Linked DNA regions of Notamacropus eugenii. The protein of the gene in region 1 binds, or shares a complex with, the protein of each later gene. Links are inferred from orthologs where the notes say so. Each region holds a gene or a part of one and is shown in the gene's direction. Other genes may lie near its edges. The genes, in order: CRNKL1, PPIL2, PLRG1 and CWC15.

Region 1 (7,396 bases):
AGAGTCTTAATACAGTAAATATCTTGTGATTCTGTTCTTCTGCAATGGACAAATTCTTCCCTGCCTCTTGGAGAAGTCAATGATGTCATTTTATGCCCTTTCACGAAAAGAGAAAACACTCCATTATAAATCTGAAATGATTAGCTGTCTCGCTTACAGTACTTATAATATTAAATACTAATTCGGTTTCCAAAATGACAAAGTGAATACAATATTTTCCACATAAGTCTAGCTGATTTTCCCTGGGGGTACATTGTATCAGCTGTCACCACAAACTACGAGACACATTTCTCGATCGGCTCATACAGTTTCTGAGAATTGGTCTGTCTAGAAAGCGCCACAACTGTATTCTTTGTTGCCAGTAAAACTTCTCCCAAATGTTATAGAGCAGTTGTTGAAAGGGACTGAAATGAAATATTTACTGGTTCAGTATATTTAATTTACCACAATTGTATGTATCCAAGTATTAGGAGGGAAATTCACTGCTGCTTCCAGTTTATAAAAAAGGAAAGAAAACCAGTGATTGATTTTGCCTTGGGATAACTTTGTTTAAACAATATTATGTCTATTTAGATTTACATTTAGATAAAAAAAATCATAGCTATTTCTGTCAAACCCAAAGTGAAAAAGTCTTTTAAAATGCTGATAGCAATAATGGTAACTTTTTATTTATCAATTATCTTTCTGAGATTATCCAATTTGTCTCTCCCGCTCTCTCTGTATATATGCATACACATATATATACACACATATAATATACATACATACATACACACACATATATGAATTTAGGAAAATGTTCTGAATTTGAGAACTGGAAGGGTCTTCAGAAGCCATTTAGTTCACTTTGTAGCTGAACAAAAATCCCTTGAACAACAAATCCAAAATGATTATTTTTGTTTCAAACCTCTACTTTCCAAGACAGTCTAATCCACTTCAGGATAGTTCTAATTGTTATAGCAGAAATTAAGATGAACTGAGGTGTGAAATTCTGAGCATAATCAAATAGCTAGATAGGCTAGCAGTAACCAATAAGTTGGAGCAATGGTCTCACTTGATGATCAAAAACCTTGAGTGAGGTTTGACAGGGTTTTTCATAACAATTCGCATGATGACAGGGTAAAATCTGGAGCAACATAGGTGTGGTCTTTTGACTGGGTATGGATGACATACATCATTTGAACCTCACCTTCTGAAAACCCCTTAACCACAGCCAAGATATGTGATTTGAGTCACTATGACAAAGGTTCTCAGGTAATGGTAACAGATCTTCCAAGGACAGGATAAGTGTGTAGGTGATAGGAGCTTCTTTAACAGTTTAAATTGACAAGATTTGAGCTTTTAGGTTGAGTTTCTCTGAAAAGTGGGTGATGGGTGAGTTTACAAGGGAAAGGAATCTCAAAGGGGAATATTAAATCTAGCTTGATCAATTCTTAGCAAAAATAGAATTAAAATCAATTTTCAATTTTGCCCAAAAGAAAATGCAGGATTCCAATTAATAATGTTAGCACTTATAAAGGCCCCTTAAGGTTTACAAAGCATTTTATAAATATTATCACACTTGATCCTCACAACAACCCTATAAGGTAGGTACTATTGCCATCTCCATTTTACAGATGAAGAAACTGAGGCAAACAGAGCTTAGGAGACTTGTCTAGGTTCACACAGCTAGTATGTGACTGAGGTCAAATTTAAATTCATATCTTATGGATCCAAGTCTTGAACTTGCCATCTAGCTGCCCAAATATGATGTGATTGGAGTCCATACTATAGTTATATCAATTCCCTTACTAGAAAGTTTTTCCTTACTTCAACCCCAAATTTGCCTCTCTGTAACTTCCTAGTTCTTGCTCTCTATGGCCTAGAGAATGATGAGTCTGATTCCAGTATTTGGAAGAGGGTCATCATCCCACTCCTTTGTCTTTTCTTTTCCAAGTGAAACATTCCAAGTCCTTTGATTAGCATATCATGATCTGGAAACCCTTTGGCATCCCATTCATCCACCTCTGTTCATTCTCTAGTTTACCAATGCCCTCCCTAAAAAGAGACATGAAGAAAAAAACATAAGAATCTAAATAAGTTACGGACAGAGTACAGCAGGGCTGACACCCTCCTTGTTCTGGACATTATACGTCTCCATATGACCTAAGATGGCATCATCTTTTTTTGGCTGCTGGTCACATTGAGCTCACACTCCACTAAAACATCAAGACCATCCCAAGACATACTACTGTTATCTAGCTATGTCCCCTCAGGAACATTTATTGTATTGGAGGCTTATTAATATTTACACAAACAAATGGATGGAATGGAAAGAATACTAACAACTAGGTGGATCAAGAAAGGCTTCCCCTTAGGAGGCAACACATCAAGGGAAACTTGAAGGTATCTAAGAACCCTCCAAGGGAGAAAATGCTTTCCTGGCAGAGGAGAGCCTATAAAGGCATGGAGGTGGAGATGGAGTTCCAGGAAAAGGAAAATCAAGAAAGTTAATTTGACTAGAATGTAGAGTGGATGAAGAGGAATAATAACATGTTTCACTATTAGATTCGATAGCTGTTATTCTACTATCTGATACTTTTCCATGATGAAAGATGAGGTTCAGAGTGACAGTCCAACACTCATCTCTGAAGTTATGCCCTACTTCCACCACTAGGGGGCATGTGAATGAAATGTCAGGCTCTTCATGGAAACCAGTAAATTGGAAACCTCTGTCCCCTAATTCCACCCTTTTCTTAGTTGGCAGTGCTTATGCCGCTGGTAATTCTTTACATATCTAAAATACAGTTTATCTATGCATAAAATGGGCACAACAAAGGTGCTTTTAATACTGGCTAAGTCAAATACATGTGTGTATGTGTGTGTGTGCGCGCATATGTATAGGCAAGTATTGGCTAACCAGAAAGGGTTAATAGATGAATGAAATACAAATTATCCCAATCCACCAATTTAAATTTAATCAATTTCAATTTCTTTTCCCAGTAACTTACACTATCAGTCAACCATGAAGCATTTATTAAGCACTTACTAAGAGGTGGCATAGTGCTAAGTGGCAACTAAGTATCCCAATGAATAGAGTGCTGCTCCTGGAGTCAGGAAGACTCGTCAGACACTAGCCATGTAACCCTGGGCAAGTCACAACCTTGTTTGCCTCAGTTTCCTCATCTGTTAAATAAGCTGGAGAAGGAAATGGAAAACCACCGCAGTAACTTTGTCAAGAAAAGCTCCCAAAAGGGGTCACAGAGTTGGACATGACTGAAAGACTGAAACAACAATTGTTGTAGAGCCCTGATGCCAAAAAATGAACTTCACTATAACCGCATTATACCATGTTTGTTGGAATATATTCCATCTGCCTCAACGACCAAAGGCATAGCTGTATACTTTTAATGGGGGAAAACTCTACTTTTAAAATAACTGATAAGGTTTTTAAAACTTTTAAAGTATTATTAGTTATTTTTCGGAACAACGGATAGAGTGCTGGACCTGGAGTCTGGAAAGCCTGAATTCAAATTCTGCCTCAGACACTTACCAGTGTAACTCTGGCAAGTCACTTAACTAACCTCCCTTGCCTCAGTTTCCTCAACTGTAAAATGTGGATAACAGCACCTGATTCACAGGATGGAGCAGCTGGAGGCAATTAGGAGGTATCAGACAATGGAGGGCTTGGGTGGGAAGCAAGGCGGGGCAATCTAGAGTTAACAGCCAATGGAAGGCCAGGCTAGGCCAAGGGCAACAGATTTGAGTAGGAAAGGCCAGGTTAAGTGGGAAGATTCAAGGAGGTTCCCAGAGTCTGAACCCCATCAGCTGTGAGGGCCAAATGAGGCAAATTTGTAAAGCGCTTAGCACAGTGCAGGAGGCGCTATATAAATGTTTATTCGTTTTCCTCTATTTTCCTAAATTCTCCGTGCTAGAACCCGGTACTCTCCTCCTTCTCAGGTCAAAACAGAAGCGGCTCTAAGAGACTGAGACTACAAGACCCAGGAAGCAACACGGCCAATCTCGAGATAACGTGTTTCCACAGTGGTGTTGCTTTGCCTTCTGGGAGTGGTAGTCTGTGCTTTTTCCCCTCCCCCGAAGTCTACCGGGCACTGTTCCATGTTTCAGCGCAAGGCGCCTTTGCTTGGAACACCTGTAAAGCTTCTCCCTGACGCCCAAATCCCTTGGCCCTAAGCCACTTAAAGCAAACCACAGTTAGAATACCCTGTGAACCCCTCCGCTACACACAGATGAACCCTTCTTAATTGGACTCACCCCAGCTACAGCACTCTCCGGGCTAACTCGGGAACAGACGCCGAAGGCCGGTTACTATAGAAACAGCGTCCCTCCCGTCACGCGACGGTAAGGGTGAAGGGTCACGCCTCGATAACGACAGTTCCGCTTCCGGTTCCGGCTTGGAGTTGTTGTCCGGGGCTTCTTGAACTGGCTGGAGACGCTTGGGGGCCGTTTCCTGGAGATTGAAGGATCGGAGAGGGCTCTGCAAGGCTCGCGGACCCACTCTCGAAAACATGGCAGCTTCTACCGCGGCCGGAAAGCAGCGGATCCCCAAAGTGGCCAAGGTAGGGGTGGGGCCGTGGGGCCGCCGAAGGGGGCGGGAAGAAGGAAGGGCTGTTGTCGGTGTCTCTTAGCCCCTGTGCCCGTGGGGAGAGGAAAAGCAAGCTCCCTGGGGGCGTGAGACCGTTTTTCCCGGGATCCGGGAAGGGAATGGGAAGAAAGCACGTATGACTGGGAATCCTCCGGAGGCAGCGTGCCCCCCGCGGCCCGGGGGCTCGACGATGTGGGCAGTCATTTTAGAGTCATACCGTGTCTGTAGGAAGCACCTGTTCATTGAGCCTCAGTGTATGTCGATATTAGCACATAATGTGTTCATCATGGCTTGTAAGCACAAAGAACTTTCTGACGAAAGAAGCTCCTAAAGCCCAGTGCTTGCGACCCCGCACTTAGGCAAGGACTGACTTACTGAGGCTTTACTGGTTTGCCATGTGTGTAAATCCCACCCAGTGGGTTCTTTGGCATCAGCAGCCCCACTTTTATCAAGTAATACTCTTCTGGGGGGAGTCAGCATATAAACATTGCGAAATACATGATGGCCTTTGGGCTCTAAAATCTATTTCCATTATACTCAATAGATACTTTCTCTGTAGTACGAAGTCTGTTTTCAACCCTTTAAAATCACAAATACAGTCACTTGAAGCAGCTTTTAGGTCTAAAACATTACAAGAGATGATTCAAACCCTTTTTCCATGTGTTTCTCTTGCCAACTGTGAAACTACACAGAACGTTTGCAACCAAACCAAAACGTTGTTCCCCATACTCATCTTCTTAACAAGAAAACCAGTTAGGTTCCATTTAAAGTGATCTTATTCTCCTCCCCCAAACTCAGTGTATAACTACCATCTTGGTGTTAAAAGTATTCAGTTGTAATTTCCTATTTAATCAGGCTTATCTTCCAAATATATTTGCTTCCAGCTTATAGTTTCCAAAGTGTGACGTATTGTTCTGTTATTTCATCCTCACAATGGAAGTAGTGTGGATATTATCTTCCCTTTACAGCTAAGGGAAATAGGGTCAGAGGTCCTGCTCAAGGTCACACAGTAAGTGGCAGAGGTGGTATGTGAACTCACATCTTCTGGTTCCTGTTTTAAATATGGCTTTAGACATAAGCGTATGTTTCAGACCATTTAATTCATTTATGACTTTAAGGGGAATAAGAAAAAGAATTCTGTAAACAAGGTTTCTTTATTAACATGACTAAAATATGATACATATTTTTAAAAGAAATTAAAACATCATATCAAAATTACATTCAAAGTATTTCCTCCAAGATCCAAATTTATTTTTATGCTAAGCCACAAGTATATACTGCTCTTCATTTTATTGCTAACTCTCCCTTAAGACAAAACTAAGCTACAAGCAGTAAAGCATTGTGTATAATTTCATAAAGAAGTCAAACATAATCTGCTGAATAGAGTATCTTGTAATATGGTCCAGAAATTTATGTATACATACGCACATATAACAGTTACAGATATAGTTGTTATTTGAAAGTTTGTAAAAGTGCAGATACCAAAGATAAATCTATTTCATTTTTAAGGTGAAAAACAAAGCCCCTGCTGAAGTACAGATCACAGCAGAACAGCTTTTGAGGGAAGCTAAAGAAAGAGAGCTTGAGCTTCTGCCACCACCTCCTCAACAGAAGATCACAGATGAAGAAGAATTAAATGATTATAAACTAAGGAAAAGAAAGGTAAGTAAAAAGTAGACTTCAGCCCTTTCAGGGGAGTGCTGTGAACCATAAAGCTGGTTGGCTGAGAGCTTGTTTAGAGAGGCTAACATGGATATTATTAATAGCTGACATATAAGATTTACAAACTGCTTGCCTCACAAAACTTCTGTGGAATGGGTAGTACAAGAGAAGGGAGAAGGGGACAAGCATTTATGAAGAGCCAGCTGTGTGCCAGGTTCTTTACCAAGCACTTTCCAAATATTATCTCATTTGATCTTCACAGCAACCCTGGGAAAGAGGTGCTCTTATTCTCCCCATTTTTCAGTTGTGAAAATTTAGAGATTAAGTGACTTACCCAGGGTTACATGGCTAGTAACTGTCCGAAGTGAAATTTGAATTCAGATCTTCCTGACTGTAGACCCAGCACTCAAAGCCCTGCGCTGCCTAGCTCCCATTTTACCAATTTTACCAATTATCCCCATTTTACTAATAAAGGAACTGAGGCTCTGCAACCTTAAGTGATTTAATCAAGACTGCATAGCTAAGACTGACCTTGATGTTTTCTGTCAGTAATGAATTCCTGTAGTCCATGGCCTCTTGGGACGTTCATTTTGTCACTATTAATTAATCATTAGCCAGTTAGATTTTGCCTAAAGAGGTAAAATCTTCTTTTTTCTTCTGTTTTTCAACCAGAATCAATCCACTGAAGGAATGACAGCATAATGATAATTTTTTAAAATGTTCAGGCTCTAAACAAGATTGGTAGCAGGGAGAAGACATCCCAATTAGAATGAAATACTCAACAAGAGGCTCTGCATATTTTGCCTCCTTTATATGCACCAGCAGTTTGTTTGGTCTGATTTTACTAAATGATAAAGTTTTATGTAATTTCTTCCTTATTTTGAATGTTTTTGCTAATGTTATTTTTATGATAATTTTTGAACAAATAATTACTAAACTGTATGCCAAGTTAAATCTGCTTAGATTACAATACATAAAGCATTAAGATTTTTAACACACTATTCATTATTGGATATATTCTGCTGTTTTTCTCCTTTGTCATCCCGATGGAATTTGGCATCATAAGGATATGTTCAAAGTACCTATCTCATTTCACAGATAGGTTCCTTCAAATTCAGGTTTTAGAATGTGATTTCTATGAATTAAATG
Region 2 (6,932 bases), on another chromosome or scaffold:
AACATGTTGGGGGGGAATAAGGTAAAAGACCGGAAACATGGGAAGGCATCAAAGCCATGGTGAGTAGGGGTGACATGCTTGGACCTGCACTTTAGGAAAATGACTTTCGTAACTGAGTGGAGGGTGGATTGGAACGGGAGAGACTCAAGGCAGGCAGACCTCCCCTTCCCCACACCCATCCCTAATAGCTATTGCTACAGTCCTGGTGTGATGTGATGAGGGTCTGCTCCAAGGTTGGGGAAGTGTCAGAGGAGAGAAGGAGGTTATATGCAAGAGATGTTGCAAAGGTGGAATGGACATCAGATGCTGTACAGTTGAAACTGATCAGAGATGTTGCAATGGTGAAATGAACAAGAGATGCTGCAGAGGTGAAATTGACAGGCCTTTAAACCAGCTTGAATGTATGTGGGGGGGTTCAAGCTAGTGAGGGATCCAGGATGACCCCTGGTTTAAGAGCCTGAGGGATTGGGAGGAGGACTTGACTGCAAAGGTTTTTCATTCTTTCATTCCAAAGGAGCACTCACACATTTATGCACAATGTCTAACACATAGTATGCACTGAATATCTACTTGTTGGCTGACTAAATGACTACCTCAGCACATATACTGACTCCTCCACCTGGGTGCAAATCCTTCCCACACTCACCTCTGGGACCCCTAGAATCCCCTTTAGGACACACTTGCCCACTCCCACACCGACCAAGTCCCCTCTTGGCACCTGGGGTTCTTAGCTTAGCTGCTCGAGCTTCTATTTGACTGTATATTTCTAAACAAAATTGATTTCAGAGCCAATGATGATTCTCCTCATTCTTGGTGGAGGTTGGAAGGGTTGAGATGGAAGAAGAGAGGGAATAAGGAGCCAGTGTAGATGAAGGAGAGAGATTTTGGTTATGCTCACAACCCTGGTACTGTTGTGACCACACCTGAGCCTCTGGGAGGGGGGTGAGCTGAGCAGATCACACCCCTACCTGCCCAGTTCCCCTCTCCCACTCTTTCCCCACTACTCTGTGCTTCAACCTTGCCCTCCACTGTCTCCTAGATCCCTTGGGTGCCTCTGATTCCAGCCCTGAGCATCCTTCTGAATATCTGTCTCATGATGAAATTGAGCTATATGACCTGGCTGCGTTTTGCTATCTGGTTACTGGCAGGTGAGTGTCCAAGTGAGCTCTGGCTTCTCATTCTCAGGGGCTGATAGGGTCTCTCCAGGGCTGGGAACCACTGTCATCTCCACACACCACTGCCTTTCAATGCAGCAGACATCTACCGAGGGCCAGGTGCTTTGTGAACCCTGGAGATCAATGTCCCCTGCTCTCAAGGGGCTTCTAGTTTATATTCTGTTCCTGCCCTGAGGAGGGGACTTTATCCCTTTCAAATAAACTATGACCATTTTACCATCTGATTGGGGCTCGCTTTGAGGGCTCAGGTTGGGGAGGAGGAGACAGCTGAGAGTGGAAGCTTTCTGTGCCTCTTCTCAGTCTATCTTGTCTGGTCTGGCTGGACTCTCCCTTCCTGACCCCAGGCTCCTAAGCAGAATCAGAAGTCCCCGGTTCCCTGGGACCTTAAAGGAGAGAGAATCTAAACCTGGGCAGGGGAATGTGACCAGGTTGTTTGTGGCAGTCTGGCAACCTCTTCTCACAATAATGTTTTTAAATGCACAAAATAAAATACACAGGATTACAAAGGAAACACAATTTTAAAATAGTTGTCAAAATATTTTTTAAAAAGAGTTCTTAATCCCAGGTTAAGGATCTGGGTCTTAACCCAGCATCCCTGACTAGGAAGAGGTCATGTGACCCCTGTAGGAAGACCAGAAGTCGTGGGGATCTTGTGATGTCTGGGGCAGCCCCGTTCTCATTTGGACACTTTCACCGTTAGATAATGTCTCAATATATGAAGCCCTGTGACTCCTTTACCAATGGGAAGGTTCTACTTTCTAGAACTAAACAGAACAGACTGAACACCTCTTTCTGAACAGCTCCGTCAGGTTGTTGTACACTGTGGTATTTCTGTTTGATGTCAGGAAAAGCTTACGATTAGAATGGGCTGCCTTAAATGGTAGCTTCCTATGCCTACAGATGTTTTGGCAGAGGCTGGGTAACCTCTTGTATGCTTTCCTCTCAGATGGGCACAGGCCTCCTGGGCAGCCTAACCTTTCTTTCCCCTAACCCCCACAGGGCTTGGCGTCTACTTTGGCTATGGAATCAGACACAGCAAGGAGAATGTGAAGGACGCTCAGGGTTCAGGCAGCACCCGATATGTGGTATTCCCCAGTGGAAGCCTTGAGGAGACTGTGGAAACAGTGCAGCCCCCTGGCCAAGCCAGCTCAGGACCTCCTCCCAGCGCTGACAGTCCTAGCCCGGGGAGCAGCGGCTGATGCCCAGCAAACTGTTCAGAAGGGTCCTCACTACCAGGGGCTGGCAGGCCTGGCTTCTCCTCCCCCACCCCTTATGGCTCTCTTCCAGCACCCTTGGAGCCTCCCTCTGAGGAGGAAGGAAGCATATTGTGAGAGCAATCTCCCCCACCCACCTTCCCTGCCTTCCTCCTGTTGGCCTGACCCTGAGGCCCCTACAACCAGCCACTCTGGAAGTGGCCCATAGATGTCTGTCTGGGGGTGGGGCATGGGGGCAGAGGGCTGGGGGAAGCACCCATGGGGAGCCCTTGCTTCTAGTGAGTCATGTCCAAGGGCCCGGAGGGTTAGGAGAAGTTTGGAGAGCTTGGAGGCATCTGGAAAGAGTGATGACTGATTATAAGCAATTATACATTTTTTCTTTGCTGGTGCTGTGTATGCCATTGAGACAGCTGGTACGGTGAAGAATGTTAATACCGATACCAACAACCCACACAGAACTTTCTGTCTTTGTTCTCAACAGAGGGGGCGGTGGGGCCCAGGAAAGGGAAGAGCCAGCTCTGATGGGGACGGATCTGCTCATGGTTTGTCTCCAAGGACCTGGGGTCTCTCTCCCCAGCTATCTTGAGGGGTGATCTAAGCAGTCTCTCCTCAGTCCATCCATGAATAAGCACCTACTGTGCCAGGTACCCTGTCTCAGTCACGGCACACCCAGCGATGAAACGTGGTCTGTTTGCTTCTGAGGGAGCCGATCTCTCCCTTTGCTGTGGGGATGAGTCAGAAGGGCTCCCTCCATGTGGCTGGGCTCAGGGCTCCCACGGGCCTTCACACCCTTCGGAGCTAGGGACACCTGGGCTCCCTGAGCAGCATAGCCCACAGTCAGTCAATGAGGCAGATTGGAAAGGGCCTTCTTTGTGCCCAGTCCTGGACTAAGCACCTGGATCCTGAGAAAGGCCAAAAAAAACCCAGTCCCTGCCCTCAAGGGACCCATATTCTAATGGGGTGGACTTAGATAACTAGGGTGTGCAAGCTATATACAGAGTATTGTATGCGGTATCCATGCATGGGTATGGCCCTGGATCAGGAAGGCTTGGTACAGAAGGCAGAAGAGGTGGGTCAGCACCTCGTTCGAGTTATCAAGTTTCACCTCTGGTAAGCCTCAGTTTCCTCCTCTGAAATGGGTTAACGATCCTCTCCATCCTTCCTTTTCTGGGTTGTAGATAGTGGGGAGGCCTGGGCCTCTAGGCCTGCTTCTCAGATTCCATCTCTGACCTTTCTGCTGACCGTGGGCTTCACGTCTCTGTAGAGCTGCCTGGTGGATGTTTTGTGCGGGATATCGAGCCTTAAACATAACTCGTCTTCCTGCCCAAACCCTCTCCTCTTCCTAACAGTCTTAGTGCAGTCGAGAGCCTCCAGGCTCCGAGCCCAGGTGTCAGCCTCAGCACCTCACTTCCCCTCATCCTCTGCAGCCAATCAGAAGCCGAGTTCGCAATGTTTCTGGTACACGCCCCCTTCTCTCCGAAGCTGCCCCGCCCTGATGCAAGCCCACATCCCCTCCTGCCAGTGCCAGCTGCTGGGCTCTCCCCACTCCAGTGTACCCCACTCAGCTGTCAAACTGATCTTCCTAAGGCAGGCCTGACCATGTCACCCTCCCCCACTCAATCATCCCTAGAGACTCCCTCTCCTCTCCAGGGTGGAACAGAAGACTCCGCTTATACCCCTGCATCCGCTCCCTGGCTCCTGAGGCTTCCTTCAAGTCCAGAGTAAAAGCTCACCTGGCAGAAGAAACCCTTCCCAATTCCCTTCTACTGACCATTTCTAATTCATACGTATTTTTATGTCGCTTTACACATAGCAAGCTTGCATGTTGTGTGTGTGAGAGAGAGAGGGAGGGATGGGGAACCAATTACACACACACAAAGATGGTGAAGAGTGCGTTTAGACTCCGGGCTGTCCAGGGCACGAGCTAAAGAACATTCTGTCCTCTCCTACCCCACGCTCTCAAGGAGGCACACGTTGCAGGGAGGTGACTTCCCATTTCTGGAGCCCCTGACTCCCGTCCCTCCTCCCATAACAGACCACCTTTGCCTCCATTAATGCTCCCAGAGTTAAGAACTGTCCTCTCCTGCCCCAGTTAAGGTGCCCTTTCTTTTGGGACTCCTTGAGGCACTAGCTTATTCTCTGGCTCCAGAATTCCGACCTTTGCATCCAGAATGAGCCAAACATCGGGGAAGGGGAAGGGAAGGAAGCTTTACAGGGATCCCTGGGGGTCCCTGACAATAAGGAGGCATCACCGCAGTCCCGGAAGTAGTACTAGCCTTTCTTACAAACTAAGGTTCAGCCACAGATCCAGACTGGCCCATGACCCTGACCCCAGATTTATCACCATAGGGGAAAGGCTGGGTTGCACCTTCGCCTCCCTGAACCTCAAAGTTCTCATCTGTAAATTAAGGCAGCAGCTCTCAAAGTGTAGCCTGGGGGTCCCTGAGACCCTTTCTGGGATTCTTCCAAAACTATTTTCTTACAACACCAAGCTGTTTTCGTTTCTGTTATGGCCGATGATCAACATATACAACCCACGTAAAACCTTGCCCCAGGAGGTGTGGCTCTAACTGTGAGGCCCAGGGCGCAGCCGGAGGGATGGTGCCTGAGTGGCCTCCCAGACCGTAAGGCGGAGGGGTGACGTCATCCGTCCTCCTCCCTTTCCTTTGTGCTGGAGCTCATCCACTGCTTGGGGCTCCCACCTGCGTCCTCAGCCCTCCTTGGCCTTTCCCCTGCAGGGCCGCTTAATGTGGTTGTTTAATTGAATCTGATGGATCCTGCTGCCTGGGAACTAACGGGGGGCTGGTGTGGATTAAAGGGTTTCCCTCTCTGGACCTCAGAACCCTCATTTATCAAACAAGGGGGCTGGAGATGAGGACCTGCGTTCGAATGCCTGCATTTGCCACCTAGAACCTGCGCGTCCTTGGACAAACGTGCCTCAGCTTCCCCATCTGTAAAACGAGGGGGTTGTACGAGATGGGTCCCTATGAGCTCCAAGGTCCTTTCCTGGGCGAATCTCCAGATCGCGGGGGCGATTTTCGGGGGTCCCACGGCCCTCTGTCATTTTAGGGTACTCTCCATACGGGACCTCGCCTCGCTGACTTTCCCCGCACATGCTCCGTGACGGCGGGCCCCCGCCCCACCCGCGGGACTACATTTCCCGGCACACCACAGACTTCCGGAAGACTCACCGGAAGTTCCGGAGGCACCCCGGAAGTGGGCTGCGCGGGCGGCCCGCCGGCTGTCTGGGAGGGCCTGAGCTCGGGGGCGCCCGGGTGGCAGACCCCGGCCCCGACCCCGCCGCCGCCATGGGGAAGCGGCAGCACCAGAAGGATAAGATGTGAGGGCCGGCGCTCCGCGGGGGGCGGGGGGCGGGGGGCGGGGCCGCCCTCCGCGGCGTGGCGTGACGCTCGCCTCCCTTTTCAGGTACATCACCTGCGCCGAGTACACGCACTTCTACGGGGGCAAGAAGCCGGGTGAGTACCCGCCGCCGGCCCGACCCCGGGGACCCCGGGCGGGGGGAGCATCTTCTCACCGTTGTCTCAATCGTGTTCCTCGAGCGCCCCCCCCAGCTCTGCCTTGTTTAGCCCCCGCGACGCCTCATCTCCCGCCTCTGCGCCTTTGCACGGCTGCCCCCGTTGCCTGGGGTGCTTCTCCTTACAGCTGCCCCAGAATCCCCCTCCTCTCTCTGCAGAAAGTCTGTCCTGGCCCCCCGGCTGCCGCCCCCCCCCCAAACGGGCCTTATAGACCTACCCCTTGTCTCCTGAAGAAGCGTCCGCGCTTGGAGGGCAGGGAGCGTTCCGCTCCTGGCACACAGTTGGTGCTTAATAAGTGCTCGCTGGGGGGCCCACGAGGAGGAAGGGGCTGCAGCAGGACGTGAAAGTGGGTGCCCAGGACGGCGCAGGGCACGGCCAGGGCTCCAGGGAGGCCCTTGGACTCGGGCTCCTTCCGGCCTGGGTGGCAGGGCCTTGGCGTTACAAGGGTCCGGGGGCGTCCAGGGTGACCCCTGGAATGCTGGGGCTGGCTGGTGAGCAGCCTGAAGCCGAGGTGGGGCCTGGGCCAGGGTTCCGAGAGAGCGGGGCCGGGAGATGGGCGCTGCTGCCCCTCCTCCGCCAGGGCACTGGAATTGGGGGTGCCCGTAGGAGCCCCCTGGCGGCCTTGCTTCCAGAGCCAGCTGTGACGCCGGCCCCCGCTTCGTTTCACACAGATCTCCCACAGGCGAACTTCCGGCGCCTGCCGTTTGACCACTGCAGGTAAGAGCTTCCCTGCCCCCCGTGGGCTGTTGGATGAGCCCGTGTGAGCGGCTTTTGGCTCCAGGCCACTCCACGGAGGACCGTGGTCCCAGCCACCGACACTCGGGGGTTCAGGCTGGCCCTCGGGGGCTCAGAGGCTGCGGGGAGGGAGGGAGGGTGGTAACACGGCGAATGGCACTCACTGAGAAAGCCCTGGCTCTGTGGCAGGCGCTGGGCTGAATGCTGGGGACACAGGCACAAGGGAGCCCTTCCCTGCCCTCTGGCAGCTCTCCTCTTCATGGGGGGCCAGG
Region 3 (7,210 bases), on another chromosome or scaffold:
TTTAGGCTGTTTTCCTCACAATCCTGTGAGTTCAGTGGTGCAAGCATTAATATTCTTGTTTACTGATGATGAAGCTGAGCCTCAGATGGGTGGGCACTTGCACACAATCACACAGCTAGCAAATTTCTAACTAGTATCACAACCTGGATTGGAGAATTCCAGGCATGGGGGAGAGTCAGTGAAAATACCTGGCGTTTAGAGATGGAATGTTTTGGTAAAGGAACAAACAACAAGGAAGCCAGTGCACTGGACTATACATTGTATGGAGGGGAGCAGGATATAAGAAGACTGGAAAGGTATTAGGAAGTGAGTTTATGAAATGTTTCAAGCCAAAAAATTTGTGTCATAGGCCCAGTTTGATACCCACTAAATGTGTGACTTTGGCCATGAGTTTCCTTCTATGTTGAAAAAAAAGTGGGTAGGTGGGTGAGGCAGAATTGGACATCAAGGAACAATAGTTGGATGAGGGCAGATCCATACTGAGCACCAAGAAGGTAAAGTCCTGGATCCCTAAGGAGATGAAGATAGTAGCTCAAACTCCATCTTCTACCAGAGGTCTTTTCTAGCCTCCACCCTCCAACGTAAGTACTTCCCCTTAGAGACTACCTTCCCTACACTGTCAATCAGTACTGTGTATAAAGTTCTATGCACGTTGTCTCCATCAGAATGGAGACTTCTTGAAGGCAGAAATTGCCATTTTTTACTCCCAGGACATGGCACAATTCCTGGCATGTAGGAAAGGCTTAATGAATGATTATTGAGCCACAGAGGGATCTATGAGTGTGTTGGAGCATAGCTGAATCTTGAAGAATGTGGCAGTCCCTCAGAATGATAAGGTCAAAATGTCTTTGGTTTCTGTTTATTCAAGGGGCACAGGTTTTCTTGCTGATTTTCCATTTCCATCTCTACCCCACTTCTTGCTGCCTGCATTGGGTCACTCTTATCGATTTTCCTCCTTCCTTTCTCTTTCCCTCCTTTCTCTTACGGTTTATAAACAGAAAAAGGAGCTATGAGGATCTAAAATTCCCTAGAAGGATACACAAAAACAATACTAAAAAAGTTCCACCCTGTATCTGAAAAATTATTAAAACAAAAGAAATGCACCTCAGTGAATGGAGTATTTGCAGACACAGAAGAAGCAGATGGTCATTATGCCACTTATAGATTCTCCATGATGTCTTGTTCCTACTTATTGCCTTTCCATCAAGATAGCTAAGAAGGCAGGAAAAGACAGAAGGCCTTAGGAGAGAGCAGCATACAGGTGTGCAAATGAGATAGAAACAAAGGGGGGAAAGGGAATGAATCAAGGGAACATATGACTACAAGATAGTTATTCAACCAAATGCCTCTGCTAAATCAAATCTCAATATTTCAAAGATCTATGATTTTATCTGCATATTCCTACTATCAATGTAGTTTGCAAACTATTAAAAAAAGCAGAAAACAACCGAACAAAAAAGCATCATCCAGTGGACAAACATATGATCAATTTCTCTCAACGTGACCAGGTTGGTTCTAAGTTGACAAACGTAGTTCACCTCTGATCTGCAGTAGAAGCTTTATTAGTCTGGTATCTGTCAGTGCTTGTGCTCCACTGGCATGGATTCTGAGAAACTCGCAAAAACTCCATGCCGGAGGCAAAGCAGGCATCCTATAGGTAAATGGAAAGGAAAGGGGTCTATGGAAAAGTGGCTGGGAGATGGAAGTGGGGATGGGGTTTTTGGAAACACTAACAGGTATCAAGGAAAATGTATTATAGCAGAATTCAGAGGAATTGAACACCTTTGGCCAAATTAGGGCCAACCTCCCCCCCTCCCCCCCTTCCCACCTTAGGAAGAAAGAATACTGAATACAGAAGCGAGATGAGCTATATACTGTTAGTTCAAGACAGATTCTCACACCAGGAGCTGGATTGGTCCGTTTTCCATTAGGTCACCACCTTCTCTACATGCCCATTATGTAACCACCCTTTGTGTGATCACCACTCCCAAACATGTTTTAACGTAAGACCCATGACCAGAAAATGGAGGGATAATTCTATGCCAGGTGCGTCTGCTTAGATACATTGTGGCCAAGGGCCTGCGGTCCCCACGTGGCTTGGTGACAGTGGTGAAGAAGAAAGACACATGGGCAGGTGGGAGTAGACAGGGCAACTCCGTTTATTGATCTGAGGGTCAGATATATAGAGAGAAACTGCATGTCTATGTGCTCATCTCCAGTCCTAGTGATTTGGCCAGTCTTATTGTCTTTAAAGACCGTTAGTCTAGAAGGCATCTATTTTATATATCCCTTGTATTCTGTAGTTCTCTTGTCTCACAGAGACATCAATATCTGGCTGGCATGGAGAGCCATTCCAGTCTCAAAGAACAGTTTCCCCAAGGCCCATCCTGAACTAGTCAACTGCACTCCATCCTGGCCCTCAACAATACATGAGATTCATTAAGCAAGCACAGTGAAGAAAAGTTTTCTCCAGCTTATTCTAGGTCATTTTCCTTGACTGGTTCTGGCCAGTTTCAGGCCTGGACCTGCTTATCAAAAAATTTATGACTTTTTAAAGACCACCTTTTTGCATGTCCTGACTGGTTGAGTCCACCTGCACTCTGCTGGCTTTCTTATTATCTGATTTATTCTCCATGACTTCATCAACTAGTAACTGTGGAAATTTCACTTTTGGCTGTCTCTCATAGGGTTCTTGCTAACTTGCTGGGTCATAAGATTTACAGATCTACATCTCCATCTGGCAGTCAGTACCTCTCCTATCCTCAAACTTTTTAGTGATCATATATGAGCTCTGAGGCCCTTTCCTCATCTAAATCCATCAACCACTGTTGAACCCCGTTTTTGTCAGAAACTGGGGTCCAGAGAAATGAAACTATGTCAGTGGTCACTTAGTGATAATGTTTAATATAAAATTTTGTAATAATCTCTTTGTTCTCTCTGAAGCAAACTCAGAGAATGTCTCTTCTTATGTCAACAAAAGCCAGCCAGGGCTGACTTAACATTCCTTAAGAGACCTTTAACCTAAGACACTATCTTGAATAACGGGATGGTTTCCATATCTTAGTATTTGTAGACATATACTATGTTATGGCATGTTAACAGTAAAGAAAACACAGACATCTTGGGTCGTAATTTCTACCTGAAACTTTGTCAAACTCTGTTATCTTATTGTATTTACAACCTATGCAATTAAGAAATTCCTTTCTAATGGTCTAGTGAATCACTTATGGAGACCATAAATCTGAAGAAAGCAGAACACTTCTTTGTCCTAAAGCAGATGTAAGGCTGCTTAATTCGGTAGTCAGAACATTTCTGGCTCCATAATGCATTGTGTTACCATTGTCTTTAATAGGGAATTGATCAATGAATAAATTAAATCATAAAATGCTTGCATTTAGCCTGTTGCCTTTACTATAACCAAGTTTTCAGGTCAACATCAGGAAATAAGGAGAAGAGCTGGGGCCTGGATCCGGCTGCCTTGTCCTATCTCCCCTTTAATTTCTCATATAACACAGGGTCCTAACTTTCTCAAGCCTAGGGATTTGCAATCCTGTTAGAAATCATTTAGTCCAATCCCCAAATTTTAAGGAAAAAAAAAGAAACTCAGGCACAGAAGGAGAAAAAGGTCTCTTCCCCTGCGGCACTGGGGGGAACCAGGTATCCCCCTCCTGCAGCTCCAGGCCCGGGGGTCCCCCGCCTGCGGCTCCAGGCCGGGGGTCCTCCACCTGTGGCTCCAGGCCCGGGGGTCCCCGCCTGCGGCTCCGGGGCTACCCCACGACACAGTTCATCTGCCCTGCACAAAGGGCCAGACTGAGACAAACGCCATCTCCTCCCTTCCTTGTCTCAGGCTAAGATGAAGGTCTAGCTATGAAGGAACATGACAGCCATCACACAAGTGGGGAAACCAGGCTAAGTGCCCTGCCCATGCCCACAGGGCAGTAAGTCCTGAGGATCAGACACGTGGAGGTGAAAGGGAGCCAACCCCTCATTTTACAGATTAGGAAACTGAGGCTCGGAGAGAAACAGAATTCGGGGCTAGGATTTCCCGCCCGCAAGCCAAGCGGTCTATCCAGGACACGCTATTGGCTCTACGGAAAAAGCAGAGCTCATCCGGTACAGCCACCACCAAGGTTGCGGCTTCCTCCAACGGTGGGACGGAGACAGTTCTGGAAGCTAAACCCCATCGTCCTTTTCGAGCCCGCGCAGGCGCAACAGCTACCATCCAATGGGCATGCGCCCCCTTGCGTCACATCCGGCGCCGGCGCCTCCGGACTCCGGAAGCAGCCGCGTCGCGGTGGCGGCGGGAGCTCTGTCTGGATTTCGGTTTCTCCTTTCTCCGTTCGCGGGGCGGGCGACGTGGTCGGCGTCATGGTGGAGGTGAGTGACGGGTGCGCGTGAGGGCGAGCCGCCGGCCTCTGGGCGCGCGAGGCTGCGGCCGGCCGTTTGTCCGCCGCCGGGGCTGGCTCGGGCTCTGCGGGAGCGGCGGTTTGATGAAAGCGAGAGGAGGCCGCGACCCGGCCCCGGCCCCGCCCCCCGCGCGAGTGGAGGAGTGGGCGTGCGCGGCCCCGCGAGACCCCCGAGCTCCGGGCCCGAGCCCGCGGGGCTGCTTCTCGGCCGGGCAGCGACCCCAGCAGCGCCTTCCCGGCCTCCCGCCTCCAACCCCCCCCCCCTTCCTCCTCCCGCTCTGCCCCTTGGCCCGCCTGCCGGTGGGCATGGTGAGTGGCGTCCGCCGTGGTGGTGCCACCGAAATGCCATGGCATCGCTGCGTTATGCCTTCAGCGTGAAGCAGTGCAGACCTCCCCCGCCCCGTCCTGTGGGGGCCTTCCTGGCGCCTGCTGCGTGGGCATGAGAGGGGCATTGGGGAGGCGGCTGGGAAGGGGGCTGGAGCCAGGAGAACCCCTATGGAGCAGGGCCGTGGTTGGGACCGCAGTGCAGAGCCCCCCGCCAGATCACCGTTCCTTCTCGATACCCCGTTTTTTGGGCTGCGCCTTAAGCAGCTGCTAGTGAATGTGCGGGTGTGGGGCCGGGCGGGCTTGGAACGGAACCTCGTGAAGTGGCCTGGAGAGTGTGATGGCTTACGTCACATCTGCCAAGTGGGGTCGGTTCTGGCACCGTGTGGTGTCGGGTGAAACTTTCATCGTACACTTCATCGTGTTCATACGCTTTAAACTTACGAGCCGCATCTCACGGAGCTCTCCACACTCTGTGATATTTAGAATTTGTTATTGTAAGCCCCGTTAAAATTGAATTTTTAAAGATTAAATCTCTGTCTACAGTTTCATCAGGTAAAACCTTTCCTCACTGCATGTGATAAATGATAATCTGTAACAGCGCAGTAAATGTAATATGGTTTACAGTATTTAAATGCAAGAGGAAAATTCACAGTTGCAAGTTACTTGTTAGAAATTTGGGGTTCGGTTCTATCAGTAACACTTTTCTGCCATTTCTTGGAGTTGTTCCATTATCAGTCGTTACTTCCGCATGAGCTTTGCAGTTTAAAATGATTGCCTTCTCATTTTGTCTTTGACACTTGTCATTGACTACAAAGTCTGTATTTTTGTAAATACACCTGACAGTTGGGATGCTATTTGTTATTAACTGCCAAGACTGTATTTTCGTAAAGGAACAATAAATTTTCAAGGAATTTGCTATTTCCCCTAAAGTTAGACTGAGACAAAATTTAGACGTTTTACAGTATTTGTGAAGCTAATTTGCAATCAGATGTAAATTCTAAGAAAACTAATTAGCTTCAGAGATTGTAAGCAGAGCTATACCAGTTCAGTTTAAAGGACGTTAAACGCCTGCATTAACCCCATGTGAAGGAAATTGCTTTAACCTAAAGGCTACATCAGTGGTATGGAAAGGAAACAGTGATGTGAACAATTCAGAACACTGTTCAGAGGCTACTCTTAGCAGAACACTGGTGAATATGACATGGATTAGGACTTGGGTCCATTTGTATAAGCAGGCTAATCCAGTGACCAGATGGCTCTGGAGAAGCCAGGCTGGTGACCTACACAGCCCTCCCTCACTCAAAACAAAGTCAGTCATGTCATCATTTCTCTGGTGGCATGGTCTTCTTCGGCCACAAAAGACAAACACAGTCCTGTGAGTAGATGCAGCTGGCTGAATGGGTAACTCAGCTCCTCCTCTCCTCTCTGCCTCCCCCTCCCCTTTCTTCTTTCCAAAGGACTGTAAATTTGGATGGCCAAAAGATGCCCGGTGGTCTTGGGTTTTACTGGTCCCTTTCCTTCCTTTCCTTTGCCTTCCATTCCCTTCCCTTTCTCCTGTTCTGTGCTGACCTATCCTCTCCCAAAACCCTAAACCTACACAAATTGGGAGTGCAATGGGCCCCTGCCTAAGGGCTCCTCTTGACCCTCCTAGCTTTACAGTGATTATCGATAGTAACTGTTACTGGTTCCCACCCAGCCTGATGTCTTTGTTTTTCTTGACCTCGTTAAGGGGGCCATGCCTTGTCTTCTTAAATGGCCTGTTCAATGAATGGGCGTTGCCTCACCCTAAGTGGGTACCTGCATAGACCTTGACCTAAAGGGGCCAAGGTCTCCCAGTGCATCCTGAGTCATCTCCAGTCATCCTGATGAATACCTGGTCCCTGGATTCAGATGGCTCTGGAGGAGAAGTGAGGCTGGTGACCCGCCCAGCCCTCCCTCACTCAAAACAAAGTCAAGTGACAGTCATGTTATCATTTCTCTGATGGCATTGTCTTGTTCGGCAACGAAGGACGAACACAATAAGCAGGTTAACTTTGTTCAGTGTAGTTTTCCATTGTTGCTTTTTGCTTTTAGAATATTAGTGCCTCAAATAAAACTTAGCATTTACATAGATGGCTCTTTAATGTTTGCAAAACTTTTTACATTATCACAATAACCCTGTAAGGCAGATGCATGTGTTTATACTCATTTTAGCAGTGAGGAAACTGAGGAAACCCCCAACCTCACCCAGGTATTAAAGAATTTGAGGTAGGATTGGAATTCAGGAATTACTGACTTTCCATTCTAACACTTAGCTTCCTCTCTGATGCTAATTCCTGCTTATTACAGGCAGCTTAGAAAATCCTTTTTCACCCTATTGATGCATTTTTCTCATTTCCTTAGCCTATCTCCAGTTTGGATTTTGGTAGAGAAATAAATATTACACTTTATATGTTCAATTGATAAGACTTTAATCAGACTATATGAAGCTGTATAAC
Region 4 (7,381 bases), on another chromosome or scaffold:
CTGAGTTGAGGTTTTACTTTGGGACTGACTGACTGGAAGTGTTTGTTTGGCCAGACAATGACTCTGGGAAGCCACTAAAGAGCCCACTGGCTTTGAAAACCCAGATGTCAGTGCTTCCCTCTCTGGTAACCATGGTCAGACAGCTGGACTTGTCTGTTGAATTATGGTCAGGCAGAGGAAGCCATGTCTATTGATCTTTGATTTCTCTGTATTTTCTTTTAAGTTCAGGGTGCTGACTCCCCTGAACTAGGTGAATAATATATATCCTTGGTTAAAGGAATGATACATGTGATTAAAGTGATTGTTAACCCCTCAAAAGTCACCTTTCTTTTTATAAATGCAGACCTAAGAACCTGTGATAGCAGGCCCCCTGTGTATGTTGGGGTGCTTACTGTTACAAATATGTAGATGGAAATTGTTATAAAGCCTTAAAAAAATCTAAAGTAGGTTTTGATCTGGTTCTCCAGGAGTATGTCACTGGGGAAGTAGTGAAGAGAAAAGGGGAGGCAGGAACAAGACAGGGTTCAGAGATAATGAAGTTTTAAGTCTACATGATTGAGAGGATGGTGTACAAAGATGAGTACTGATTCGTGGTGGTTGAACTCAAAGGGCAGATCTAACAACTGTGAATGGAAGTTACAAAGAGGCTGATTCTGACTTCATGTAAGGAAAAAGCTCTTTGAAATCAAAGCTGTCCAGGGTGGAATGGGCTGTCTCTGGAAGTGGTAGATTCACTGGCTTTGGAAATTCTTAATGCCAAAGCTGAATACCCACATTTTCAGGTACAACTTGGATAAGATTACCTTGAAACTGCCTGTCATTCCGAGTTTCGGTGATTTTTCTATTGTGTCAATTCAGCAAACATTTATTGTAGTACCTATTTGCAAAGCCCTGTGATAGGTTCTAGACATTCTATGGGTCTCTGCCTTCAACTTGCATATCAGGGACCCTGCCTATACATCTTTTCATACTAGCACCCACTATTTACATATACTAGTAAATCGAGAAATCTTTGTCCATTAAAAAATATATATATCATAAATAGACACTATTAATGGACAATGACCTTAGCTCAGAATTGAAGTGGAAGAATAGTGGAGTGAGCTAGATTTTTTTAGGGAAATGGCAAAGTTTCTTCCTGAGGGTGTGAAAAATGATTAACAACCAACATCTAGGGGAGATTCAGAGGCTCTCCCTTTTTTCTAAATTTCTCATTTTAAAAAATTCAGTTTTCTTGAAGGACATTACTGATAATGAGATTGCAATGACTCTCCTAGATCTTAATCAGACCCCACCCAATCTTGCAAGGAATTTAATCTAGGTTGGGGAAGTCCACCGTGTACTCCTCAGGCTTGGGGAAGGGGGTACAGATCCTTTTGTCTAGATAGCCCAAGGCTGCAGGTGGTCTGAGTAGAAATAGTCTTCTCTGTCCAAGGGTGATGTGATGATGGATGACATGAGCCCCTCATTGGAAGGGTAGATAAACTATGAGCCCCACTGCCATGGCTGTCTTTGGTCTAAGAGAGGCAGCCAAATGACCATCCTTTTATTAGTAACCTGCTGTTCTTAGTAATAACATGATTAAATTTCCCAGGAACTATGTCTCTTGAACATTTTTCAACATCACAAAAAGAAAAAAGGATCATATTTTATAGCATGAATATTCTTCTGGTAATGACATATGGCTGTGACACTACAGTCTTCAAAGAACTAAATTTAAGGATTAATCAAAGGGCAATGAAAAGGCACACAGCAGGGCAGGTATAGTGCTTGAGGAAGAGCACTAGATTTGAAGTCAGAGGACATGGGTATGTCACTGTACTCTCTGGACCTCAGTTTCCCCATCTAAAAAGTCAGGGGGTTGGACTCAGTAGTCTCTAAGATTCTTTTTCAGTTTTAAAATTACAATCATTACGAACATGTAATTATGTAGGGATAGTCTCCAAATCTGTGTAGGGAATTCCAGGCGAGGAAATTCCCTCTACCAAAGCAGTTGTTTCCTAATTAACAGACTTAAGATGGTTAGTTGCCTAACTCTTCCATGGTCATACGGCTAGAATATGCCAGAGGCAGGCCTTGAGCTGTCTTTTTGACTTTAATGATAATGATAGCTAACATTTATATAGCACTTACTATGTGCCAAGCCCTCTGCCAAGGGCTTTAAAATCATCATCTCATTTGATCTTCTTAACAACCCTGAGATGTAAGTGCTATTATCATCTCCATTTTGCAGGTAAAGAAACTGATGCAAAAAGAGGTGAAATGACTTTCCCAGGATCACACAAGTAGTCAGTGCTGGAAGCCAGACCTGAAGTCTGGTCTTCCTGACTCCAGGCCTAATTCAGTAACTCTTACAGATCCTTGACTCCACCATTGTTCCCCCTCCCCTCCATTTTCTCTGGCCTACCATCTCTGGTGCTGGAGCAGGAAGGGATCCCCCAGGATACCTGCCAGTGCTCAGGATGTCAGGGACGAAAGCCTACTTTCACATCTCCTCAGGATTTTTCTGACTGAATCCTACCAATCCTACCCTTTCAAAGATCCAATATGGAGATACGGCTCAAGTCCATAATAAGCTGACTCACTCAAATAATTCCTTAATCATTCCCTTAATAAAATGTGTCTAGGTCAACAAGTTATTCAAATGAAGATATCCTTCCTAATCAATGCTCCCAAGCTGTCAAGTCCCTAAGAGGAGTCTCCACATTCTAAAAAAGGAAATTCAATACCTATCAAGGACCCAAAATCAAAGTAAGGATAAACATGGTTAGAACCCATCTAGTTGAGCAGGTGCCCTTATTGGCCCTTTGCTGCATTCCTTTTCTCATTTACTTCACATTTTCTAGATTTCTGAGTTTTCATTCTCAACTTTTCCTTGTGTAACACTGAATAAGAATTAAGAAATTTCAAAGTTGGTGTACCACAGTAATGATAATATAGTTGGAATAAAAACGGTGTTAGAAGTGCTGAATTCTCATCTTTGCTAATTTCCTTATCTGTAGAGAAAGATGTCTAAGATTTTATCTTAGTTCACATTCTTTAACAAATGATTTCTAAATGTAGCAATATAAGAAATAAGAAATCTCATAAAACCAAGTGTAAAAAACACTGGGAATCTCTGGGTTCCTGATCACTTCTCCCTTCCAAAATGAGCACTGCTCAAGACATTGCTTAAACCACTAGCTTCTAGTCTTTTTGAAGTTGAAATATCCATGGATCCGTGACAAAAGCTACAGTTATCTGTCACTTTATGCCTGTGTAGGTACTCCTTCAACAGAAGCAGGTTCTACCAAAGGAACCTTCAAATTTTTGCTTAGAATGTCAATCCTAAGGAATTCTCTTTAGGCACATAGAGGTTGCATGATGTGCCCAGGCTTAAAAGCCAATGTGCCAGGGGCAGGACTTGCACCCAACTCTTTTTCATTCTTGTCTTTGAACTCTTCCACTACTCCAGGTTATCTCTAACCTTATTATCTGATTTGGGCTGGCAGGGGTGGGGAACATGTGGCCTCCAGGTCACATTTGACCCTCTAGGTCTTCAAGTGCAGCCCTTTGACTGAATCCAAACTTCCCAGAACAAATCCCCTTAATAAAAGGATTTGTTCCATAAAATTTGGACTCAGTCAAGGACCTAGAAGGCCACATGCTGCCTTGAGGCTGCAGGTTCCCCACCCCTGGATGGGAAACCCTGTGTCTGGTTGGGGAAATCTCTCCCCTAGTGCAAATCAACATCTCCTCTGCTGCTTTAAGCGTTGCTGGAGCATTGAGAGGGTTCGACAATGTGCCCCTTAAGTCACTATGTGTCAGAGTCAGGGTTTTTTGGCCTCACCGCCTGCTCCTCTGGTCCACTCCAGTGGTGTCAAACTGAAAAAAACGGGCAATACTAATCCACACGCAAAAACCCCTGCCACTATATATTGACTTAGCTTTAAAATGTAATTTTAACCGTTTTATTATATTTTTATTTTGTTCGCTCCTTCCCAATTACATAGTAATCTGGTTCTGGGAGTGTGGCAGACCCACAAGCAACCTGTGTCTGACACCTCTGTACTACACGGCCTCTTCTCTGATTTTTAAAAATTACTTATTATTAGATCAGTGCTCCGCGCTAAACGCGGGGATCTGTTTATGAATTCAGTTCTATTTACAGGGTAATGTATTTACAAGAGCGACACGAGGGACTCAAGAAACCTACGGCCCTGGGTATCTTCTCCCCCGGACTTGGGCAGCTCTCTCCCCTGCCCTTCAGGCATCCTCATCACAGCCCATTCCAAAGCCTCTCATCCGGCCGGGCTCTGGCCCTGGTCCGCGGACTTAAGGCAGATGGGGAGGCCAGGGGCAGGGGGCTTCTAGTTTCCCAGTCGTTGCCCGGATACCAAAGGGGCACCTAAGGGGTCAAGCAGTGACACACGACTCGCCCACCTCCTTTTCCGTCTCCCCAGAGACACCTTCGACGGCTCTCTCCTCGGGTTCAGGGAAGCTCTTTTGTTTGTCAAAAAAGTATCGGTCCGGCTGCATAGGGAGAAAACGGGCGGCCCAGGCCTGGGGAGCCGCGTCCCCCTCAGGCAGGCCAAGGGACTCATAGTCGACCCCTGGCGGCCACACGAGGGCGGCGCCGTCCACAAGTCATGGCTTCCTTCCGTCTGGCTCCGCGCAGGGCAAGGACAAAGAGAGCTGGGGCGAGGTGGAAGGGAAGAAGCCTTTGGAGAGAAGAGTGTGAGGAAGAAAGAGCCTAGCAAAGAACTGGATGAATGACTGTTGGCCAGCCGACCTACAGTTAACCGGAAAGGGCGGGCTCTGGCTTGCCTCTCCCGGGCGTCCTAGCGACTTCCGCTTCTATTCCCGCCCCGTCGGCGGCCTTTCTCCCCGACGATTGGCTGTTGGCTTTGGTCATATGACGCCTTCCGTTAAGCGCGTCTCCGCCACCTTGTTTTTCTTTTCCGGTAAAAGAGAGTCGAGTTGTTTTCAAACTCTATGCTCTTTGGGGGTCCCGGCGCGGAGAGTTGTGGGAAGGTGGAGGAGTAATGGTGCTGGCATAATATCGGAGGGCCGTGGGACCTGAAGTAAGTGATTCCAGAGACCTCTCTCTCTTTAGCTCACGGGGAAAAAAAGAGTTTTTTGGGGAGCAGTGGGGCTGGGAGATGTGGAGAGGCAGGAGAGCTGAAGGGAGAAGCCAAGCCGCACGGGTTCTAGGGCCCCGGGGTCGGGTGTGAAGGGAAGGCCCGGGCTCGGGATGCTGCTGGCGCTTTCGCCTTTGCTGTCCGTCCCCGGGTCTCCTCGGATTTCCGGTGGTACTTCCCCGAGTCTCCCTTTTGCATTAGTTACCGGGGGCCCTGCCGCCCTCACCCCCCATTACTGCGTAAGCCTCTTGAGGGCCGACTCTGGGGTATCTTCTTTTGTATTGTTGACGTCTGGAACATGGAGACCTTGGCTGGAAAGTTAGAATTTACAAAAGAAAACATAACCAATTCGTGCCACATCGTTATGAGCTGCATGCTCATTTGGGGCAATAAACTTTAAAAATAGAAAAAAACCCAAAAAGACCCTAGGTGCCCCACGGCCTTCTGGGCCACCGCAGGCCGTCCTGAGCCGTATCTGGCCCCTCGACCCAGAAGGTGAGGCCGGAGACCTTGCGCAGCCCTGCCTGCCTCCCTGAGTCTGATGGAGATGAGAAAGCCAGTACTACTTGCCAAGGCTTGTGGCCCTAAGAATGATCGCTTCCTCACCTTCCCAGGACTTGTAATTTGCTATGGTAGGTCATTGTTTGGGGGGCGAGGGTGTTCTCACAGTCTACGTGCCGTGGTGATGTTTATGGTCTTTCAATAAAGGTACAGATAGAAAAAGTTACAGAAAAGGGGATGGTGGTGATGCGTTCAGTTAAATGAATTTTGAAAGCTCTTTTGCATAGGATTTTAACTGTTTTTAAAACTAATAATTTTCTTAAGTATGGACATGTGACTGAATATAATTGTATATCCATGAAGCCTCGAAGATGACCACAGCGGCAAGGCCTACATTTGAACCTGCAAGAGGTGGAAGAGGGAAAGGGGAAGGGGATTTGAGTCAGCTTTCAAAGCAGTATTCAAGCAGAGATCTACCTTCTCATACGAAAATTAAATACAGGTAATAATGACTAAATGTTTCTTGTAGAGAGTTTTTCTTAAAAGGCAGAAGAAATTTTGTATGGGGTTCTGTAACGACCTCTTCTGGATAATAGGGTGTTGCTATATATGTCAGTTACCAGAGAATTAGCAATAAAATATGAACATTGACATAAATTTCATTCTTTAATGTATAATGAAAATTTTTTTTTAGTGTTGGGTACACAGGCACATAAACACAACTATGTCTGTGTCAACGCACAGACATGATGATCATAAAACTCTTCTGTGCCATGAGATTGTGTTTTTTATGGTCCTCATATCTAATTGAGATTAAGTTTTTCTTTCCTGCTAAACATGGCCTGACTTGACACTGTACGTAAATTCAAGCATATTTAATTAGTGTCCTTGCATTTAGTCCATCCTACCAGTAGTAGCAAGAACTTTTTTGATTTTGAACTTTATTTTCATCATTATACTCCTGATTACTTACTGATCAAAAATCAGACTCCAGGTATCCCAAGTACCTCACACATGCATTTAGACCTTGAAGTATTGTAATGGGTTTTTAAGCACCCATATGAATCTCTTACCTATAATGTCTTTGTGCTAATACCCTGGCTTGTAATTTGAGTTTCAGGCATTCAAATATATTCACTCCCCATCTCATATTACTTGCTTTACCCTTTTCTATACTCTACAATAAAAAAATAATCATTACTGTCTAAACTCCATAAATGAGATGAATAAGATAATAGTCATTTAAATACAATGAGTGTATGCCAAGAAAAGCTAGATTCAGATTGAATCCAGAGGTCAAGTATAAAGGTGACACCTACTAATGCTTTAGTTTTCTCAAAGCAAGATGTGTTGAGCATAAAAGATAATCAAGGAGACAGATGTGACCATGTTGAGACTTGCTGGAATCATGAAATTAAAGTAGAATCAGAATAATACATTAAGAGCAATTAATACCTACTCAGTGCCAGTCTTAATATACACTTCTGGAACTTCGAAATGGTCGTAACAGGTTTGAAAAGTATCCTAACACATCCTCTACAATGTTAATGAAACATAGGATCCATCACTGTAAGGTAGCTATAGAAAGAGATTCATGCTGCCTCTCCAAGAAGGACAGAGATTGATAAACATTCTTAAAGCACATAATAATCAAGTCTAAAAGCTACAGAAATATTTTTAGACCAAGCAGACATTACTTCACTGGGCACTATAGTCAATGCCATTAGTTTTGTTCAGTAAAACTGAAAATGGATAACCTC

What was found.
Region 2: CRNKL1 (region 1) and PPIL2 share a complex: the UniProt entries of both Homo sapiens proteins name them as parts of the minor spliceosome. The link is inferred for Notamacropus eugenii from reciprocal best matches to the Homo sapiens genes CRNKL1 and PPIL2.
Region 3: CRNKL1 (region 1) and PLRG1 share a complex: the UniProt entries of both Homo sapiens proteins name them as parts of the minor spliceosome. The link is inferred for Notamacropus eugenii from reciprocal best matches to the Homo sapiens genes CRNKL1 and PLRG1.
Region 4: CRNKL1 (region 1) and CWC15 share a complex: the UniProt entries of both Homo sapiens proteins name them as parts of the minor spliceosome. The link is inferred for Notamacropus eugenii from reciprocal best matches to the Homo sapiens genes CRNKL1 and CWC15.

Annotation. Positions count from the first base shown.
Region 1 is NC_092872.1:595,317,729-595,325,124, reverse strand, and holds the start of CRNKL1 (crooked neck-like protein 1), read left to right. Parts: upstream 1-4,373; 5' UTR 4,374-4,508; coding exon 4,509-4,559; intron 4,560-6,094; coding exon 6,095-6,247; intron 6,248-7,396. Other genes in the region: CFAP61 (cilia- and flagella-associated protein 61), read right to left, coding at 1-89. UniProt on the Homo sapiens protein: Involved in pre-mRNA splicing process. As a component of the minor spliceosome, involved in the splicing of U12-type introns in pre-mRNAs.
Region 2 is NC_092875.1:8,219,055-8,225,986, forward strand, and holds the start of PPIL2 (RING-type E3 ubiquitin-protein ligase PPIL2), read left to right. Parts: upstream 1-3,923; 5' UTR 3,924-5,502; coding exon 5,503-5,729; intron 5,730-5,815; coding exon 5,816-5,865; intron 5,866-6,596; coding exon 6,597-6,642; intron 6,643-6,932. Other genes in the region: SLC7A4 (cationic amino acid transporter 4), read left to right, coding at 1,040-1,148, 2,175-2,374. UniProt on the Homo sapiens protein: Has a ubiquitin-protein ligase activity acting as an E3 ubiquitin protein ligase or as an ubiquitin-ubiquitin ligase promoting elongation of ubiquitin chains on substrates.
Region 3 is NC_092877.1:153,068,674-153,075,883, reverse strand, and holds the start of PLRG1 (pleiotropic regulator 1), read left to right. Parts: upstream 1-4,210; 5' UTR 4,211-4,368; coding exon 4,369-4,377; intron 4,378-7,210. UniProt on the Homo sapiens protein: Involved in pre-mRNA splicing as component of the spliceosome. Component of the PRP19-CDC5L complex that forms an integral part of the spliceosome and is required for activating pre-mRNA splicing.
Region 4 is NC_092876.1:163,313,161-163,320,541, forward strand, and holds the start of CWC15 (spliceosome-associated protein CWC15 homolog), read left to right. Parts: upstream 1-4,381; 5' UTR 4,382-5,063; intron 5,064-5,984; 5' UTR 5,985-5,992; coding exon 5,993-6,123; intron 6,124-7,381. UniProt on the Homo sapiens protein: Involved in pre-mRNA splicing as component of the spliceosome. Component of the PRP19-CDC5L complex that forms an integral part of the spliceosome and is required for activating pre-mRNA splicing.